Arabidopsis thaliana: one gene and its partners. The protein of the gene in region 1 purifies or fractionates together with the protein of each later gene. This does not show direct contact. Each region holds a gene or a part of one and is shown on either strand. Other genes may lie near its edges.

What was found. Proteins that work in one complex are often made in the same cells at the same time.
Region 2: the proteins of TRS120 (region 1) and SEC6 purify together in Arabidopsis thaliana (affinity purification with western blotting; one study listed by BioGRID). This does not show direct contact.
Region 3: the proteins of TRS120 (region 1) and SEC8 purify together in Arabidopsis thaliana (affinity purification with mass spectrometry, with the first as the bait; one study listed by BioGRID). This does not show direct contact.

The regions. Positions count from the first base shown.
Region 1 is NC_003076.8:3,493,660-3,501,198, reverse strand, and holds TRS120 (TRS120), read right to left. Parts: upstream 6,005-7,539; 5' UTR 5,868-6,004; coding exon 5,457-5,867; intron 5,265-5,456; coding exon 5,058-5,264; intron 4,951-5,057; coding exon 4,768-4,950; intron 4,585-4,767; coding exon 4,475-4,584; intron 4,402-4,474; coding exon 4,342-4,401; intron 3,865-4,341; coding exon 3,576-3,864; intron 3,415-3,575; coding exon 3,125-3,414; intron 2,823-3,124; coding exon 1,942-2,822; intron 1,831-1,941; coding exon 925-1,830; intron 813-924; coding exon 589-812; 3' UTR 254-588; downstream 1-253. Other genes in the region: ALF4 (aberrant root formation protein), read left to right, coding at 6,049-6,213, 6,370-6,549, 6,648-6,797, 6,887-6,959, 7,284-7,450. UniProt on the Arabidopsis thaliana protein: Specific subunit of the TRAPP II complex, a highly conserved vesicle tethering complex that is required for the proper transport of proteins in post-Golgi trafficking pathways to the growing cell plate in mitotic active cells.
Region 2 is NC_003070.9:27,007,825-27,015,599, reverse strand, and holds the start of SEC6 (SEC6), read right to left. Parts: upstream 6,037-7,775; 5' UTR 5,726-6,036; intron 5,631-5,725; 5' UTR 5,579-5,630; coding exon 5,450-5,578; intron 5,257-5,449; coding exon 5,218-5,256; intron 5,132-5,217; coding exon 5,043-5,131; intron 4,956-5,042; coding exon 4,865-4,955; intron 4,695-4,864; coding exon 4,605-4,694; intron 4,500-4,604; coding exon 4,429-4,499; intron 4,178-4,428; coding exon 4,085-4,177; intron 3,731-4,084; coding exon 3,572-3,730; intron 3,246-3,571; coding exon 3,138-3,245; intron 2,942-3,137; coding exon 2,806-2,941; intron 2,713-2,805; coding exon 2,668-2,712; intron 2,329-2,667; coding exon 2,273-2,328; intron 2,164-2,272; coding exon 2,055-2,163; intron 1,727-2,054; coding exon 1,586-1,726; intron 1,486-1,585; coding exon 1,372-1,485; coding exon of another isoform or gene 1,306-1,371; intron 965-1,305; coding exon 881-964; intron 795-880; coding exon 708-794; intron 531-707; coding exon 486-530; and 3 more. Other genes in the region: AT1G71810 (Protein kinase superfamily protein), read left to right, coding at 7,636-7,775. UniProt on the Arabidopsis thaliana protein: Component of the exocyst complex involved in the docking of exocytic vesicles with fusion sites on the plasma membrane during regulated or polarized secretion. Involved in polarized cell growth and organ morphogenesis.
Region 3 is NC_003074.8:3,225,999-3,230,914, forward strand, and holds the start of SEC8 (subunit of exocyst complex 8), read right to left. Parts: upstream 3,037-4,916; 5' UTR 2,762-3,036; intron 2,438-2,761; 5' UTR 2,359-2,437; coding exon 2,317-2,358; intron 2,016-2,316; coding exon 1,803-2,015; intron 1,510-1,802; coding exon 1,336-1,509; intron 1,103-1,335; coding exon 998-1,102; intron 775-997; coding exon 665-774; intron 519-664; coding exon 339-518; intron 1-338. Other genes in the region: FLD (protein FLOWERING locus D-like protein), read left to right, coding at 3,139-4,900. UniProt on the Arabidopsis thaliana protein: Component of the exocyst complex involved in the docking of exocytic vesicles with fusion sites on the plasma membrane during regulated or polarized secretion. Involved in polarized cell growth and organ morphogenesis.

The DNA.
Region 1 (7,539 bases):
AATCCTCTTTAGCCAAAGATACTTTGTGTCAGTTTTTTTTTGCTTTAAATTAATAATCGTAACTATTTCTAAAGTAAATTATTGTATTATTTTTTAGTTATTGATTAATCCGTAAGGCCACTAATACACGACATACGAGCTTTGGGGAAACTTCACTGCCTTGTTTGATTATATCAATGAATGGTATTTATTTGACGGTGAAAGTTATGTCATTGCTCTGTGGACCTTTTCAATACACAATAGGGAAGGAATTCATGGTTAAATAGTTTTATTTTTGCTAATATTATGCTATAATCGTTTTATTCTTTTTATCACTGAAAGTGATCCCACTGAGCAGAGTACAAACACTTACTTTGAGAAAAGTAGTCTCAGAACCGAGGCCGTAAAATTCCAAAAAAGCATAGTCTATGCATGGTGGTCATAAGATGACCCAAGGTAAATACAGAGACAAACACACAAGCAATTATAGAGATATTTATAAAGACCCATACTTAAACCCGGAACTTATAATTGATTCTCGAGAAATCAACTAACAGAGCAAAAAACAGAGTATAAATTATAATGCCAAGACCTGATTTGGTTAACGAATCACAGTGCACCTCCAGCTACACAGACATGAAAAGGCGGTCCACGACAGAAGATGGGTTCGTTTGGAGAAGCAGTTCCTGCTCGTGCTCTGAGTACATTGTTAGCGTCTTCAATTACAGCAGCTGCTACCATCGTGTACTCTCCTGGAACAAGGAAGAAGAGTGAGAAACAGTGTCTTGCTTCTTGCAGCGGCGCTACTTCCATTGAGATTCCACTAAGAGCACCTGACAAAAGTATAAGCCACCTTTTACATATCTCATTGTAATACACACGGCTATAATGGCAGCAAATATCTATGTTACACAAATATTTATTACTTAGTGACAGGAATCTTACCAGCCCAGAGGACAGTGGCATCAGCTCCTTCAGTGCAGTTCTGTCCAGCTACATCTCTGCAAGTAACACTTAGATTCAACTTGATAGCTTCGCTAGTGTTATTGCGGACCAGAACCTCCATAGGAGTGACTTCATGTGACAGAACAGATCCCTTTGAAAATGGGGACTCAGCCTTTGTCTCAGGATCCTTCTCCAGACCGTTTCTGACCAGTCTGAAACCAAATGTTAGCGGATCTGGGAGCAAAACATCCATCACAGTCGTCTGGAGAGCTGTCTGAATTGCATCCTTGATGTCCAGTTCTCCTGAGCTGTTCCTTCCTGATTGCCACCGAACTTTTATCTTAGAGATGAGATTCTTGATCAATGTGTTTATCTCAGCTTTCGTGTTCTTCTCTGAGAAGCTCGGATTTCTACTACTTGAAGGGCTACCAGGTGGAGGGTCCTTTGTGAAGAATGAACCATCAAGAACCGGTAGCTTAAAATGCTCCAATGGAATCAGTACCCTAGCAGAATAGTCCCGGTCGATTCTTGTTTTCGGGTATTCATACTCTGGAGAATCTTGTACTGGTGAAGAATCATCTTCCTTGGCAGAGTTTTCCAGCTGAACGAAGACGCTGATTTCAAAAACAACATCTGTTGGGTTAGATAACTCAAGTTCAAGAAACCGTAGTCCCCAGCTTCCCCTAAAGGGATTGATCTTGACAAGGCTGTCTGCATTGCTCTCTCTTTCAATGTCTTCATCCCGAAGGTTGTCACTCACATGTGCAGGGATTTCCATGGAAAGCAAACGAGCTTTCACAAACGACAAACCTTGCAAAACACAAATTTGTAAGGGAACAACAAGCCGTCTGCCCGGTGGCACGATAGATTCTTTTTCTTGGGAATCCCCATTGTTAGACAATGGCCCTGCAAAAATATGAATACAAAAATGCTTTTAGTAATTAGTCATCGTGAGGATACATGAAGCACTGAAAAAGTAAGATACATAGAAACATACGTCAAGGAAGAAATGAATACCTGCGTAGTGAATAAGCAATGATGGACTGGTTCCGTCTTTTGGTCTTCCTGTGTTACCCGCAGCATTCCTGCCACTGCTCATAGTATTGTCAGAATCAGTTGGACCCACATGCCAAGCTTTTAAAGTCACAGGCAGAGTCACTTGTGCCCCAGGTTTCAAGGGAAGAGCAGACTGTAAAGCTTCATCTGCGATCGAGATAACAGCATCCTGATTCTTTCCAGAGAGCGAGACATGTGCCTGTACTATTGGAACTGTGCCAGCATTTGCAAAATTTATACACACCTCCCGAATTTCACCTTCATACAGAATAATTGCACCATCACCACCCACAACATTAGCCACAAGGAGGGGCAATGGAGGAGCAACTGATATGTTAGGAACAAATACATGTCGTAGCTTTGCAGATCCGCAGGATCTGAAAGGGTCAGAAAATACAAGTCCTTGTGCTGCTCCAAGAAGCAGATTGTCAACATCCCTGAACACATGTTCAGTGATTACACCAAAGCAGTGAACTGTGCAGCCTGGAATTGTCACTGGTCCTACAGCTGTTGGAATACCAGATAATGTGATCACTTTTGCAGAGTTAGGGGGAATGTCCACACTGACAGGAAACGCATCAAAGTTACTCGAGTGAGCTGAGAGATAAATACTATCAATCCGCAAATCGAAGCAACAAGGATTTGCTAACTCCACTAAGACCTGAACTGGTTCACCGACCACCCAAATCAATTCCTGCTTGCTACTTTCGTTGGCATCTCCTTTGCTGAAAGGAGTGTAAATAAATGGCCCAGAAGGAGCAGAGCCTGTCCACCAATCTTCTCTTGCTGGATTGCGTTTTACGATGTCCACTTGGGAGGAATGGAGTGGGAAAGAGAATAGCCTGAAATTTCATTAAAATAATCATGCTTAGAAGAACCATTAAAATTTGCCAAAACATACACAGTTTTGCCAGAGTCAGCTAAGAACCAAACATGGAACACATTCCTGAAAATAAACACATATTGGGCATATATGAAGCCCAAGAGATGGATTAAAAGAGATTATTACTTATTTTTCTGATCTCGTTGCTCTACTTAGAGTGCTAGGAAATATAACATGACCAAGTTAGGTTGTTTCATGATGGTGAGAGTGCACAAGCAAAACATCTCTGAGAGCAAAAAGGTTGACTGCTGATAAACATACCTTACAAAAGGCAAGGCAGGGTCAGCACAGCGAGTTCCAGAAGGTAATCTATCCGCTGAATTTGCAAGGGAATTAGCAAGTCCATTTTGACCTGAAGGTGTAATTAGAGGATAATGCCACCTCAGAAGCCTAGCTGCAGCACTCCATGCAGCTAAGGGATCTCCAGCACGAACAGCAGAGAGGAGTATCTCCCTAAGCACAACCATCTGCAAAGTGCTCCAATGGGACTCGAACAGGGAGACAATGGAATGATGATGCATTTTCCCAGCGTCAGGTAGGCGCCCAGTTTCCTTTACCAACAAACACAAGAGAAGATACAATATATTATCAAAGTATGATACATGGATAAATACCAAGATAGTGAAAAGTGATGATAACAAAAAAAACTCCAGAAAACCATGCTCAATCAAACACAAGAGAGGAAAAATAATGCCTATGCTGGCAAACTCACATTGTTAACCGACACTTTTGACATGGATGCCCTACTTTGAATTCTGTATGCATCAGTTGTCATAGAGAGAACTTGCATGGCACTGATAGCAGCCAATCGATTGTCTTGCTGCAAATACAATTGGGCGACCTGCCTACAGAAGAAGGCTGCTTTCCGTTGATAACCAAGGGCTCCAAATAAACGCGCTACTTCAACATATAATATGAGCCTATCACTGGCATCAATTAAAGACTTTGCACCATCAGCTGCATTTGTTAATAGCTCTACTACTTCCTTAGCCAGTTCCCTCCTGCACAACACATAAAATGACATTGTAAGAATGATTAAGATCAAAGATACCAAGAAAAAAATGAGGATGCAACCAGAAGGTTAAAAAAACATAAAAGCTGCCACAACCAGAGAGTATCATTTCATACTAAACGGAAAACCCATGTATTTTAGCTTTTTCAAAACGTAATAATTATTCTTTTCCCAGCTAACATCACCATCAATCACAAAACATTAACATACAGCCATCCTCCACTAGGCCACTTAATACTTAATAGTAATCTCAATATATTGGTATTATAAGTTGAATGTTGCAGATAGTTTTAGAGGATCAAAGCCACACACACACAAGATCCCATGAGTTTATATTTAAATTTTAGTAGCGATATAGCTTCCTACTAGACAAAAATACCATAGCAACCTTAAACTTAAGCAGGAGACGGCAAGAAAGGAAACCACACCATGATAATTTAAAGAAATAGAGAGCATACAATGATACCTGCAAAGGAATCTGGCCAGCTTAAGGGTAGCTTCGAGTTCAAAGCTTAGGGGCGAAACTCTGCAAGGAAGAGAATTGATTGCTATTACTTAAGTTTATCGAAGAAGAAAGCCAAACAGGTTGGTAGAATTACCTCTGAGCAATTTCTTGAATAAATGACTTTCTGTAGTGCAAGATAACATTAGTGTATCGATATCTAACTTCATCTTCTAAAGCCACATCACGTTGACCCATCCGATCTACCTAATATTAAGAAAACGGAAAACTAAGATGATTGCAAACTTAATTAAAGAGGGACAGATGAGAGCAATTTCATAATCAGTGCACTTTCGATAAACAGCACATCACTATCCATGTTTTTGGACTATAATACTATTAAAAATGTAAGAACAATGCATTTAGAGATATATTTGCATAAAGCCTTACCAGTAAGGCACAAACACTGCCTTCCAAGGCACCGGCATACCAGAAGTAATCTCCAGTCAATCTGGCCAGTTCCAGAGCAGTAGAATAATGAGCATTGGCATCAACAGGTGAACCAGCCAACAAGGAATAGTCTCCTATAGTTTTTTGTGCACGTCCCAGCCTACGCTTTTTGGCCTTAATAACCTGCATTAAACAAAACTAGTGAGCCTAGAAGACTATGCTAATAAGTTATAAGCTTCCAGAGGAAGAAATGAAACGTAGACCAAATTATAGGACACCTAGACATAAACCTCCTCTGAGTTGAGACTAGCTTGGGAATCCAAAGGCGTCTTCAAAATTGTGCCAGCAGATTCTGCCTGAAGAACCCACTTCTCAAATTCCATTAACAGCGAAGCGGCAATGTCTTGCATCATTGTTTGTAAATGAAACTCCTGAGTTTGCTTGTCAGATGGAGGAAACAAAATCAAATTTTCACCCTTCTTGTCTCCATCTTCAAGCTGCAAAAGACAGTACATTGTTCAGTAAATCGTCAATCTAACGCATCCATAAGCAAGTAACTAAATCACTGGTACAAAAAATGGACATCACTATCAACTGTAGAGACAAATCAGAAAAAAGCTAGCTAGATCCATCGGCATCGAGCTAAGAATGCCATAGCAGATAAGAAGCATGGAAACTAATATACTTACTTGCGAATCGCCAGGGGAGAAAGCGAAGCAGCGCCGGACAAGAGCCGAGGAATAACTCTTACAAGCGACATTGAATTTTTCAGTGACAGAATCAAGATCAGGGGACGAGGGACAGTGGCAAAGGCCGATCACGGCGAGCATCTTCCGATTAGACTGAAAATCCTCCCAAGGACTCGGAGGAGAACCACCAAGCACAAATTTGAACCGGAGAGAGCCGGAATCCCACGGCTGATTCGTGAATGGAGATTTCTGATGTTCAGTGTAGAAAGAGCTAATAGCTGAGAGCGCGATCGTGTGATGACGGAGCAGCATCGAGTGGTAGTCCCGGAGAAGCGTCGGCGGAATAGTGCCGATCGGAAGGACGGCGATCCGAATGATCGACAAAGTCTCGATACTGACGTCAGGTTCCATGGCGAGATCAGAGAAGGAGAGTGAGGATCTTTCGGTGAGCGTGAGTGCACCGGATCTGAAGGAGACGAAAACGAGAAAGTGTTGAGAGAGAGAACGTGGTCTGTTTGGGTACAGGTATTAAACTATTCTTAGTTAGAATTAGACTATCCGGGGTTAAACTCTATTCATATAACCAAACGATATGGTTAAATTCGCGATTATTAATACTCTCACTGTGAACGAAACTTGGGCGAAATTGAAAAGTTTTGGCGTTATGGAATCGTCCATTGAAGGGAGCTCCGAGTCAACTACTGTCACTACTTCTCCTTCGCGTCGTGTACGAGAACTTTTAGCTTTGTGTTTCAGTGTAAGCTTTCTCTCTTCTTCTTCTCCTCGTTTCGGGTTTGTGTAATTTGTTTTCTGGGTGGAATTTCTAGATGCTTTGAGATCGATGAATACTTAGCTGTTTCGTGATTTTTGGAGCTCGAATGAAAAATTCGCCGCTAATTTTGTGATTTTTCAGTCAGTTGAAGAAGCCGGAGGATTTCAAGACTTTGAGAGTTTTGTGACAGAACTTGTCAGCTGTTTGGATTCTTTGTATGAGAACGTAGCTTTGGATGCTAACAATGAACTGGAGAACGATGTTATTGAAGAAGTATTAGATGAAATTTTGAAAGTTTTATCATCTCCTCAAATGGATCAGGTACTTTTCAGTTTTCGAATCGCTTTCAAAGCCAAACGGAAGGATTTTGTTTAGAGAACCAAGCTTATGATTTTGTTCCCCGATTCATTTTATTACAGGATGTTATAGATGCACTGTCATTTCACTTGCCAAAAGTAACTTCCAAGTTTGCAGACATATCAAGCAGATGTTTACAGTTAGTTGAGGAAATCGTTGATCGGTTTGTGGAAGCATGCAATCCACGGGATATGCTTTCAATTCTTTGTGAGGTAATTGATCTGGAATTTCTTTTTCCTTCTTGGTATTTGGCATAAGAAGATTACAAGTTCTTTTTGATCACCTTATGACTCTGAACCAGGCACTCGATGCTGCACGGTGCTATCATTCAGCCTCCACTTGTTCTACTCCTTTATTGCATGGGCTCTCTAAAGGTACCAGTTGAAGATTTCTCGTTTTCAAGATATTTATAGACTCCTCTCATGAAAGTGAATTTTAGCCTGGCACCTGCAGTTTTAGTAATACTCTTGCTTTGATTGTACACAAGTATGAATATCCTAAAATTTATAGACTTCTCTCATGAAAGTGAATTTTAGCTTGGCACCTGCAATTTTAGTAATACTCTTGCTTTGATTGTACTTAAGTATGAATATCTTAAAGTTTGTGTTTGAATCCCTAACTAGTTTTGTTACTGAAGATATTAATTTAGTCTTCGTGAACTGAAGCAGTAAAAAGTTATTCAAATTTCCTGGTTTCAGTATTTATTTTGATCCAGAGGCGTCACTACGAGCAATTAAAGGTTGCAGTTCCAATTGTCCTGAACGTTTTGAAGGACATTTCATTGGAAACAGACGTGCAAGTTGAAGATTTATTTGATAAGGCTCTAGGCATTGCCTCTTCAATTCGAGACGTTTCTTCAAAACTGGTCTGTAAGTTTGATAAATTGGCAATTAGGATTCCCTAAATCACTACCCAAAGTGTAAATTCTCTAATTTGAATATTCGTTTTGCCTGA
Region 2 (7,775 bases), on another chromosome or scaffold:
AGTTGGACAGAAGACCATATCTTAATTCTGAAATGATTATGTTATAAAGAACACAACTATTACATTATATAACATGTAGAAAATCAATGCATATGAGAATAGTTTTATCTATTAAAAATCAATGGAAACCAGTAGCAACAGTATCAAGGAGGTGACAACGACTCGACTGCCTCTATTCACACATTAGTAAAGCTAATAGATTAGTTCTTCAGAATAGTAGATACCTTTCTGGTAAAGCTTGACAAGTAATTCCTGAACTCCTGGATCCTCAAAGATAACGCGAACTGTTTGATGCACTGCTTCCTGAAATCAAAGGACCAGATGGGACTTGTGTAAAATCCAACATAAATTTTAACTTTAAAGATCGCAAGATCAAGTTGAAATTTCATTTCAACAGCCATCTGGGCAACTGTAAGGCCATAAATCGAGATGCAAAAACTATATTTGGATTGAAGACCAGGGAGAAAAAGGAATCTTTGACGAACCTTAGCCACCTCCAAGAAACCTTTGCAAGTGTCTTCAAAATTCACCTGACAGAAACACCACATTAGAGAAGCATTTTATTAGTATGCAAACAAGAGTGTATGTGCACATAGACGTGGAGTATAGTGGGACTGAGAGTGGGCATGATGCAGTGGAATTTGACATATCCAAACAAAATAATCAATTGCAACGAAATTGAGCTCAGAAACTGGCAGCTGGATTACCTGCTCTGCATAATTTTGTGGAAGAGCTTCTAAAGTGCTATTACTTAACTCCATGGCAAGGTCGTAGCAGCGAAGGTTGTTGTTTATCTGTAGTCAATATTAACATATAAATATTCGTCTGAAAATGGGAGAAAGAAATAGTGTCATCAAAAGAGTCATATCTTTTGACATACCATAGCGCATAGAGGTTCCAGACCAATATCAGATGCAGGTTCATCAACTCTCTTCTTTTCAGCTGCTTGGAAATCAATCATAACCTGAAGTAATTCACAATATGAATCAAAATTTAGAACATGCACAATGCTACAAAAGTTACGAAATTTAAGAAGTATAAAAGTTAGACACAATGAAAGAGGGGGGAAAATAGAAAAGAGAAAAAAGGGGGTAAACGGAATTCAACGATTTTGGGTGAGATATGAAAAAAAAAGCTGGGAATGGGTAAAGTCTCCAACATTAACTTTCACGAGTCTTAGAAGAAAGCAAAGAACGATTTGAAATTTCTGAGTATATATAGTAAATAAATAGCCTGAGTAAGGAAATGGAATATTTTCAGTTCATAGCCGAACAAAGAAATGTCTTTGCAACCTCTTTAACTTGCCTGAATAATAGCTAAAGCAATCCTGTACAACATAACATCCGTGCTGTTATCTCTGACAATTTGCACTTGCTCTCCAAGTATTCTGAATAAATCTACAGCAGCCGGTGTATATAATTTTCCTTCCTCAGTTTTTTTAGGTGGTTGCACCTTATCCGCCTCTAGGATATTCATGTACCATTTCTGCAACCAAAGAATTGGCAACAAAAGTTTAAGCAAAAAGAATTATAAAAATTTTTAACGTCAAAAACTAGCAGAGTAGGTCAAACGTGTATGTCATTACCTTCGTTGTAGCTTGCATTCTTTCAACATATGCATTCATTAGAGGATCCATTGAACCGCTCTCAGAACACACTTGAGCTAGTGAATCATCAACACCAAGTGCAATCAAGTTTTCTTGGTACTCTACCACCCAACCAGTCACCTAGCAAGATCGAAGAGAGAAAGAAAAGATACATCACTCTCTAAAGGATACCTAATGCACAGAGACAAGGTAAAAAACGAATGAGGCATTTTGATGAGGCAACACAAAGACAGTCACATAATATTAGTACCCCCTCTTATAATTTCCCATGGTGTTCCCTGTCAAATAACTCGGACTAGCTTGACATTTACTTAAATATCATGCATGGTTGATTAAAAATGTCCTTGATATTCAGTCAGAAAACACAGAGCCAAAGCACCAAAAGCAGTATCTGCAAAGTTTGAGTTGCGACACAACATGGGAGAACTAAGAATCATGCTTTACATACCTTTAAAATCTCTATATTTGTCAGATCGTTTGCTCTGTCACTGAGCAATCTGAGCATTTGTATGAATCTCTCGGTATACAGGTTCACCATAAGCTGAAATATCTCGTATCTGCCAGCAAAGAAGATTGCTAAGGAACCCTTTTTCACTTGGGGAACAGAATAAATTTTAAGCTGTAATCTTTCATTGTCCACTTGAGGAAAACGAGATAGGAACAAACCTTGGAGGAAAACAAGGAGCCACATAGTCATAAATATCTCCAAGTTCCTCTCCAATCTAGTTGTGGAACACCATAAAAAGAAAGTGAAAACCCAGTTGATAAATATATATTTGTGAAAGATAACAGAAGAAAACGAGGTTGACATCAATCATTATGGAACAGGAACAGTAATATAAGACGGTCAGGCCAATTTGGAACTTTTGTATCAGAACAGTAACATACTACTAGTTCATCAACCATATTTATTAAGAACCAAAAAAAAAACTAATTCAGTCAACTAAAGGTGATCTACTGAGAAACAAAAATATATTAGATAGTTGAATATAATTTCATAAACTGCAGAAAAGAAAAAATGAAGAAAAGTGTATGAAAGCAAGGGAAACAGTCGCACAAACCATTCTAGCTTCTTCCAAAGCTGCTTTTAGATCTTCAAAGACAAGCTGTTCAATAGTTCAGTGTTAGGATGACCACACAGAGAAACACATTACTTGTAGCTATGCCATCAAATGAAATTTTCAAAAAGAAAGTCCCACCGTCAAAAGCCTGTTGAATCGATCTTCAACCGCCTTCCGAATTTGCTCGTAGCATTTGTCCTTGTAGCCTTTCCCTTGGACTTTTAATTTCTGTTGAGCAAGACCCTTTGACGACGCTGACGTTGTAGTAGATTTCCTGGATTCAACAGAATAAATATAGGACATGTCACAAATGATTATGGGGACTTTAATAAAATTCCATTGCTTTTCAGGACATTAAATCAATGCAAAATATAGCTTAGTCAAACCCCTAGTAAAAAAGTGAAAGATATTTTGAATAACAGATAAGACAACAAATCAAGACAAATACGAACAAAAAATATCAGACTCACTTGCCAGGCCTTCGAGGATTTGCTACAGATGCCATCGCACCTTCTCCCTCAGCCTCTGCTGCTTCTTCAGCAAGCTGTTGGTCTAGAATTTCTTGCATCTCAACAACCCTTTGATAGAATAAACCATTGAAAGTTAGTACCAGTTCTAGTTAACTAGTTCACTTTAAATTAGTCTACTCATTTTCTTCTGGATAGGAGACTTTGTGTTTAAGAAACTTCTAATGCCAAAATAAAATCCATGATATTGCAATGCATGTTGCATTAAAGGAAGTAAAAAGAAACAATTTGCTTGTCTAAAAATGATTGTCACAGTAACACAATGACTTCGCTGTCCTACTAAACCAGTTTGAACTGATCTTGATGCTAATCACCAGAAAATAGGTATACACTATCTTCCTTGCTAATTAAAATAGATTTGTTTGCAACAAAATTACTGAAACGTAATAATTTGGGAATATATGCCATAGACAAAGGTAAAGAATGTCTCTGGTGGGGGATCATACCTCAAAGCACGAACCAGTGTTTGCGGACTGCAGAACAAAGATACATCAGTAAGTTTAAGATAAACCAAAAGGATATGTAAGATTTGATATCTTAGCAGAATTAAGAGCTTAACAACAGGAAAATAGCTTATTTCAACATGGAGCAAAGTCTAAACGTGTACTTAATCCCCAAGGTCTGGCTAAGAACATAAAACAGAGAACAGAGCATTACATAAACTATGTATTATCATATAAATGCTCATATATAGCTACAGAATAAAGGGTACAGTCCAACTATGTCCATCTCATCTTTTGACATTGCTTGCATCCTTGATCTAACTTCCTAGCCTTACTCTTATAAAAAACCAGCAAGAATCATAGTTCTAAAATAAGGCAGTAGAAATAATTAAAAAAAATGGAATTACACGGAGAAGTTGAGCATAATCATATATTTACTCAAAATACCTTTCTTTAGAAAGTTTGTAATAGTTGGAAACATGACCCCATAGTGTCTTCTCGAATGTTTCCCATGTTCTATCAACATCTTCAAAATACTCCCTGAACCCATCAAAACAACTCTTTAGAAGTTGGTATGCATGCTCATGTAAAAAGAAAAGACAGTCCAGAGGCGGGATCAAATCATCATATGCACTACCAAAAGAGTAACAGCTCTACCTACTGCTCATTACTTTAGCATAGAGACCTATTTTCTTTCATAGCACACCAGTAACTCTTGAATTAAAGCTTTCGGGCTCACTTCATGTAAGTACAAAAAGCAAAGAAAGGAAACGAGTGGAATATATACAAACCTCAGCCTCCCAACCTCCTCTCCAGCAGCTGCTAATGCAAATCTTCGTTTACCATCAAGTGCTGTTAATCTCTATGGAAGAAAAACAGAATATTATGTCTTACACCAAACGTTCTTTTTTTCAAAGTGATGCAGTCAGAAATGCCTGGAATCCATGGGAAGAGGAACTCATGCTACCTCATAAGTGTTAACGATTTCTTTATCATCACTCAAAGAATCCCTAGCCGCAGCAGCTTCAACAGAAATTGACATCATACCTTCTACATCCTTGAAAAAAGAGAATGAGGTAAAAATAAGTTGACAAAAACTTGGAAAGCATTTAAACATCTGAGACGACCATGCAGAGCTATATATATTTGCGTTCAAGAATAAGTTAGAAGGACAACACTGAACCAAATACTGTAAGCAATACAATCAGTGCTCATCGGCATATCTACCTTTAGAGTTTTGTTTAGATTATTCCTGGCGTTACTCAGCAGCTTTATTTGGTCATGATTGTCAATCAAAGTTTGACATTCCTGACAAAGCCTGTGGCACAAGAAGAGAAGTTAGAGGGAGAGAAATGCAAAAGTTGGTAACTCAGCTTCAAGAATCTCTAGTCAAGCAAAAACATACTTGTCGATAGAAATGAAATTATCCCGCAGTTCATAAATGGTTTTCTCAGATGATGAAAGTGACTCTAACCCAGCTTGAGCTTGTTCAACCTGAAGTTTGTCAACAGCTATTACTTAAGAACAACAAAAAAGTCGAAATACATTAAAGTACAAAGAAGGCCAGATTAAAGCTGTACCTGCTCAGCAACCATAGTACTGAGCTGTGCATCATTTGCCTGATTGAAACAGCAAGCATCACTAGTCAGGTCATTAAAAATTTCCAGAAAATCGAAAATAAAAGATAACAATAGCATATCAAAACCTAACAACTCAAATCTAGCATTGCTCAGGAATCACTAATACTCAGTGCAAATGATACTTCAAAAGCCAATTCAGTTCCAATTGCAATTCAAAAGCAAGATGTCAAACCTGTTGACGAGCGATGTAATCGGCCTTGATTGAAGAAATAGACTGCAAAAGTTCAGGTAAGGGTAAGAGCTTCGCCACTTCTCGCACAGCCGCTTCCTTCGCTTCCACACCAAGATCTTCGACCATCATCTTCGCTAAATCACCTTATTTACGAACTCCGATCCTAAATTGAAGGCTACCTCTGCAAAGTTATTCAAAATTCCAGCACAATTACGATAACGCAGAGGAGAATCAAGAGATCTGGAAACAGAAACGTAGAGGAAAAATGGACGCAACCGAATAAGAAGTCATTGAGCAAATATCGAGAGCCAAATGTGCGATTCTCCAACTTCAATTACTTCGTCGTCCTCTTATCTTCTTCCTTCGCTGATTCTGAAGATCCTGGAAACAGTGATGTTGGACGCAGATCAGCTGGGAAGAGAAGCAACGATTAAATTTCTGGAACGAGTCTCATCTATCGTCTCGCGACTCTAATGGAAAGTTCGGAAACGCTGAAATTTTCCGTCTCGCCGGTTTTGATTTTTCTTTTTCTTTTTTGCCAGCTGTTGATGCAAACCTATTTTTTTTTTTTTTTTTTTTGCAAACGCTAACGCTAATTCGTTGAGCAAAACGCAAATCTTAACCCCATGCTCGGGTTCGTGTTATTTTTTATTTTTTGTTATATGTTTAATCATTTGAAATGTCACTAAAATATCATCGATTTTAAATCTTACCATAACGTATCGAATTCGAAAATATTAGTCGTAGGGGTCTGATTGGTTATCTAGCGATGTTACATACGTTTGATATTAATGGGGTTGCATATGTTTTGATAAGTTTATAATTTGACGACATGCTTTGCAAAACTTGGATGTGATATATTAGTTGTGATATCATCAAAGTTTTGCACATAACGTAGTACATGTAATATATAAGAAATAAATCGATGAGATGGATGGAATATTGAACTCGACGAAAAAGAAAAACAAAGCCTAAGAAAATGACAGCTTCCAAGTACAAACTATTTGAAAAGAAATTTGTAAAATCTCATAAATATCAATAGAATAGAGTTACAATATTTTGAAACAAATAATTATTCATCTAGAGTCCGTTTAGCGTAGAGGATAAACGGACGCACAATTTTCGACAATACATTTATATAAATATAATCAGTAGCAAAATGATAATAGTTAGGCATTAGAGTCACTAGGTAGTCTAGGTTCACAACATGGACATACCATGCGACGTAGGTAATGGCCATACAAGCACGAAGCAAGAGCTACCATAAGGACGCCCGATACCACGCCGATGTATTCTGTCAAATGATACATGTCCATCTTCTTGTTCACCACACCACCAATCTCTAATCTTTCTTAACCTTTTTTTTCGTGTACTGATTATATTTATATACATGTATCGTCGACACTAACTTTACATTTTTGTAAATATATCAGCAACATTTGGTAAGTTTACATTTTTTCATTAAGAACATACTAGAGAAAATTCGAAAGTTTACATTTAGGAAAAAATCGAAAATATATTATGTTCGAATTCTTTCTAAAATACTCCACAAACTGATATTATGATATTTACTAATTACTACTACTAGTAAAAATATATTTTAAGATATGTGTATTTCATTATTCAGCTTGTTTCAGATTTTGATGGTTTACATAAAAAGAAGAGTCATTGGTATCTAAAAGGAATAAGATCTACAGAGTTATATATCAATTACCAAATATGTGGATGTGATATATTCTTTATCTCTTTTATATATACACTAAATTTCTTTTTCTTCAAAGGAAGCATCCAAGGACAGATAAATAAACAGACAATCTACAAACTTTTTCATATGTTTTTCTTAAGTTTTAAACGTAATTATTATGAATAGTTTGGAATGATACAGTTTTAGTCACTAACCAAAAAATATGATTAGTAGCTAAATAAAGTACATTTATATGACATATAAATACTTAAAAAACGTACAAAAAGATTGGTGCCATTTGTGTGACACAGAAAATCCCAGCAAATGTCGAGAGAGAGAGAAAGTATAAAGAATGTGACCGGCAAAAAAGAGATAAAACAGTAGAGAACCATATTATTTGCCATTTCTTAGAAGAATCCACTGCATGATATTCAAAATCTCACCAACAACCATTGGCGAAGAAGAAAAGAAAAAGAAGATAACTCTGTAGATTTTGAAAGAGATGCTTCGGCTTCCTTCTTCTATGCCAATCGTTTCTTTTCCCGCCAATCCCAATCTGCTGATTAATCCACAACCATCTTGGCCGTCGCGAAGAGGAAACTCCGCCGTTGTTGTCTCCGCTGCGTCTAGAGATGTAGATAG
Region 3 (4,916 bases), on another chromosome or scaffold:
AAAACATGTAAAGTATATTTCGTAAAACTAGAACAAAGGTTGTGTGGCTAGACAAAGCAACTTCTGCAATAATCAGTTTACAGTATAGTTTCTTTTATCAACAAATATTCTAATGAAAGAATTTACAAGGAGAATCTCCACATAATGATTAGGAAATGATGCAAGTATATTAATCTCAGTATTAATAATAGAGCAAGTGAAAGCCTCTATGGAGAACTACAACTAAACAGACAGTTACTAAACATTGATCACTCAGAATAAAGTTAACAATATACACGAAAAAATGTTCCTAATATCTCATGAAGAATACACTGAAGGGAAAGGATGCTATATCATACCTTTCATCATTAGAAGCGGTTCTATATGAACCATTTGTGAGCCCTCTAACACCAAACTGACTATCACCTTTCAGTGTCCGTGTTCTACGTGACAGTGGTTGTGAGCTCATTCGACTAGCTGCAACAGCTGTTGTCGTTGGTACTTCATCATCTCTTTCATATATGCTTGACGCAACTGAACTGCAGCATAAACATGGTCAAGAACAGAAGATTGTGCACTGAAAGAAGTGATGAGGCAAACAATCAAACAAGCAGGCCACTAGATCCGAGGATAAAAAGCAGCACAGCTTCTGAAATTTGCTTATAGAATTGCAAAAGAAACCTACCTGTATTCACCTCTATTGTATAGGTGTGCATGCAAATCATCTAGAATTTTGAAGAAAAGGGCTCCCCGCAACTTAGTTAGCTCAGATCTGACATCTTGAAGAGCACCAACCTAGGTTAACGTACCAAAATATCTATGAGTTCAACATACAAGTGAACAGTAGATCCCTTGGACAGAGATATTTCTAAAGTCCCAACAGAACTTCGATGATCCCAGATCCTCTTCAATGGATTTATTACAAAACAATCCTAGAGATCAAATTGATAAATGAATGGGAAGACCCACAATATTCCCATGACAATGCATTTGTTAAAATTGGCAGTAAGTAAATTACCGTTTGAAGCCCCTCACGCTCCAGCATTAGAGACGACTGGAGATACACTTGAATAGCAGCGTAAAACTGCTTATCAGCAATGAGCTTCTCAATACGAGATGGAACCTGTTCAAGGTTTCAAGAGGCAGGGTCACCATTTTCACATCAGAAAAGCAGTTTCTTTTAAGTAAGCCAAAATGAAAAAAAAGTAAGTACATATATCGGGAGCATATCAACAAAAGTAACATCAGAGATACAGAGATGATGAATGAAGTATGAAACTTGATAGCAGCGCAGATACATAGCAAGCACTGTAAACTCAAAATAAACAAAGAAATGTTACAGCTAATCCAACCAACCTTGGCAATGCCCTCGATTTGATCCAAAAGTGAGATGATGTGCCGCAATGTAACAGAACGGTACCACAACTGATGTAATTGTTTATTGCGTGCACCCAAGCTCTGTTTCGCTTCTGCTAAATCGTGCTTCAAGTCGCCTATCTTTTCAGTGGACTCACTGAATAATCGCAAGATCTGATGAGGAATACATTGAAAGCAGAGCAAAAGAAGAGAGATAATCAAAACCAAGGTGTTCCACAAATGAAATTTTAGTAGATAAATTACAACAGAGGGTACTATTCCAAAAAGAAAATTCTACATGCAGAAACCATAGAAGCAGCCATAGTTAGTATCAATATTAGATTTGTTGTATCTTTGGCAAATGAAGCGTGCAATATGGAAGTCAATAAGCGGTAACAGAGGATGCTACTTTAGAATAACAGAACGAACTATCCAATAAAAAGGAAGAGCTAACAGATATTAGAAACCTGTGAATAGTTTTGAATGGCCTTGTTGAAACCACCATGATAAGCATGGACAACTTCATCAACAACCTCCTCGACAACATCACTTTGTTCCTTTAATATATGAATGTCAGCTTCACGGTCTTTTGATGTCAAAATATGAACAACATGTGGTAAAGAGTCAAATCGTGCAGCAGCCCAGCTCTCATCTATTCTTGCCAGCTCCTCCCTAAGGTACTGCAATAACCATCAACACTCAGGCACATATACACACACATGTACTCCAAAACCAAATACATAACCAAATCAAGAGTGGTGGTAATTCAGTCAATTTCTTGTCTAGCCATCGTACAACTTCTTACAATTAACTCCAACCCCGAAATGAAGAGATATAAGAAAAAGAACCGTTATACTTAAATGTCCCTATAAATCCCCAAGGGGATGAAAGAACACCATAGAACAACACAATTCCTCATAAGCCCAAACTTCAGGTTTTCCAACTCAAGTAGGAGTCTACGAGTGAGGAAAGTGAACTTACAGTTTTATCCGAGGGTACAGGCAAACCATTGAAAATCCCCATGCTGGCGAACTCACTCCGATTGGCTTATTAGAGCCGAAATGAATGTTCCTCAGCACATTCCAATCAAAGCTCTCTGTAGCTGAAAGCAAAAGTCCAAAACCCCAAGACGAGTTAAACACATACACGAGCTAGAGACCGCGATATTACGCAGTTCAGTACACACAAAGAAGCTAGTGGACCCAACGGCGAACATAGAATTCAAGTCAGGAGAACAAAATGTGAACAATTCAATCATTACTCCTTCAGCGAAAGATCTGAGAATCATAATTCGAATTACATGAAAAATTCAACTGATGACGAGACTATCGGCGTATACAAAAATTAATCAAACACTACGTCTGGAAGTAGATCTAGAGAGAAAAGAATATCGAGAAACAAATTCGATTTCAGCTGCGAATCTTACCTGGGATACGAATCCACGCTAGAATCTGATCAACACGTTCCCGATCACGAAGAGAAAAGCTAAATCTCGAGAAAATGGAGAAGACGAAGAAGAAAAGGTAAAAATCTATACGATACGCGTTTGTTTTATTCTCCTTCCAATTTCTTCTTCTAATTTTCCAGACTTTTCTTCTCTCTCTATTTTTTTTTCTTTTTCTGTTTTACTTTTTCCTTGTTTTCTGTTTTTTCCCAAATAATAATTTAAAAATCGTGGGAAACTAAATCATCAAAAAGCTCTTCAATTAAATAAAGATAAAGTTAATCCAGTAACCAAACAATCCTTTTCTTCTTCCTCTTCTCATCGATCACTCTCCTGCAGTTTCTACGGCGACGGAAACGATGAATCCACCGGATAATTATGTTCCGTCTGTTTCTCACTCTCAATTCTCTACTCCTCCTCCTCCACAGTCGAGCTCAAACACCAATACCGAAACAAGTTTGAATCCATTTCCGAATTCGATCTCTACCTCAATCTCTAACCCTAGTTTTGAGCAGATGGTCTCATTCTCCGCACCAAAGAAACGAAGGAGAGGACGTTCTCAGCGCTCAATGTCTTCGCTTAATTCCCTTCCCGTCCCTAACGTAGGTCTTCTTCCTGGTAACAGTAATTTCGTGTCATCTTCAGCTTCTTCTTCCGGTAGATTTAACGTAGAGGTCGTCAATGGATCAAACCAGACTGTGAAAAGTTATCCTGGGATTGGTGATGAGATCATTACGATTAACAAGGAAGCTACCACTGAAGCTTTGCTTGCTCTCACTGCTGGGTTTCCTGCTGATTCGCTTACCGAGGAAGAGATTGAATTCGGTGTGGTGCCTATTGTTGGAGGCATTGAACAAGTCAATTACATTTTGATTAGGAACCACATTATATCCAAATGGCGAGAAAATATATCTAGTTGGGTCACAAAGGAGATGTTTCTTAATTCGATTCCTAAACATTGTAGTAGTCTCTTAGATTCGGCTTATAATTACTTGGTTACACATGGATATATCAATTTTGGAATAGCACAGGCGATTAAAGATAAGTTTCCTGCTCAGTCAAGCAAGTCTAGTGTGATTATAGTTGGTGCTGGTTTATCTGGGTTGGCTGCAGCTAGGCAACTGATGAGGTTTGGCTTCAAAGTCACGGTTTTGGAGGGTAGGAAACGACCCGGTGGACGGGTTTATACCAAAAAGATGGAAGCTAATAGGGTAGGTGCTGCAGCGGATTTAGGTGGGAGTGTTTTGACTGGAACATTAGGAAATCCTTTAGGGATTATAGCGAGACAGCTTGGTTCTTCTCTCTATAAGGTACGAGACAAGTGTCCTCTTTATAGGGTGGATGGTAAGCCGGTTGATCCAGATGTGGATATAAAGGTTGAGGTAGCGTTTAACCAGCTTCTAGACAAGGCAAGTAAACTTAGGCAGTTGATGGGTGATGTTTCCATGGATGTCTCCCTTGGGGCAGCACTCGAGACATTCAGGCAGGTTTCTGGGAATGATGTGGCCACCGAGGAGATGGGTTTGTTTAACTGGCATCTTGCTAACTTGGAGTATGCAAATGCGGGCCTAGTATCAAAGCTTTCTCTTGCATTCTGGGATCAAGATGACCCATATGATATGGGTGGAGATCACTGCTTTCTGCCTGGAGGAAATGGAAGGCTGGTTCAGGCTTTGGCTGAAAATGTACCAATATTATATGAGAAGACCGTCCAAACAATCAGATATGGTTCAAATGGTGTCAAGGTAACTGCTGGAAATCAAGTGTATGAGGGTGATATGGTGCTGTGTACAGTTCCCCTTGGTGTCCTTAAGAACGGATCCATCAAATTTGTTCCCGAATTACCTCAGAGAAAGCTTGATTGTATAAAGAGATTAGGTTTTGGGTTACTGAATAAAGTTGCAATGCTCTTTCCGTATGTATTTTGGAGCACAGATCTCGATACCTTTGGGCATCTTACTGAGGATCCGAACTATCGAGGTGAATTCTTTCTGTTCTATAGCTACGCACCGGTTGCTGGTGGTGCTCTCTTGATCGCGTTGGTTGCGGGAGAAGCTGCTCATAAGTTTGAGACAATGCCACCCACTGACGCAGTGACTCGTGTTCTTCATATTCTTAGGGGTAATAGATTTCACTA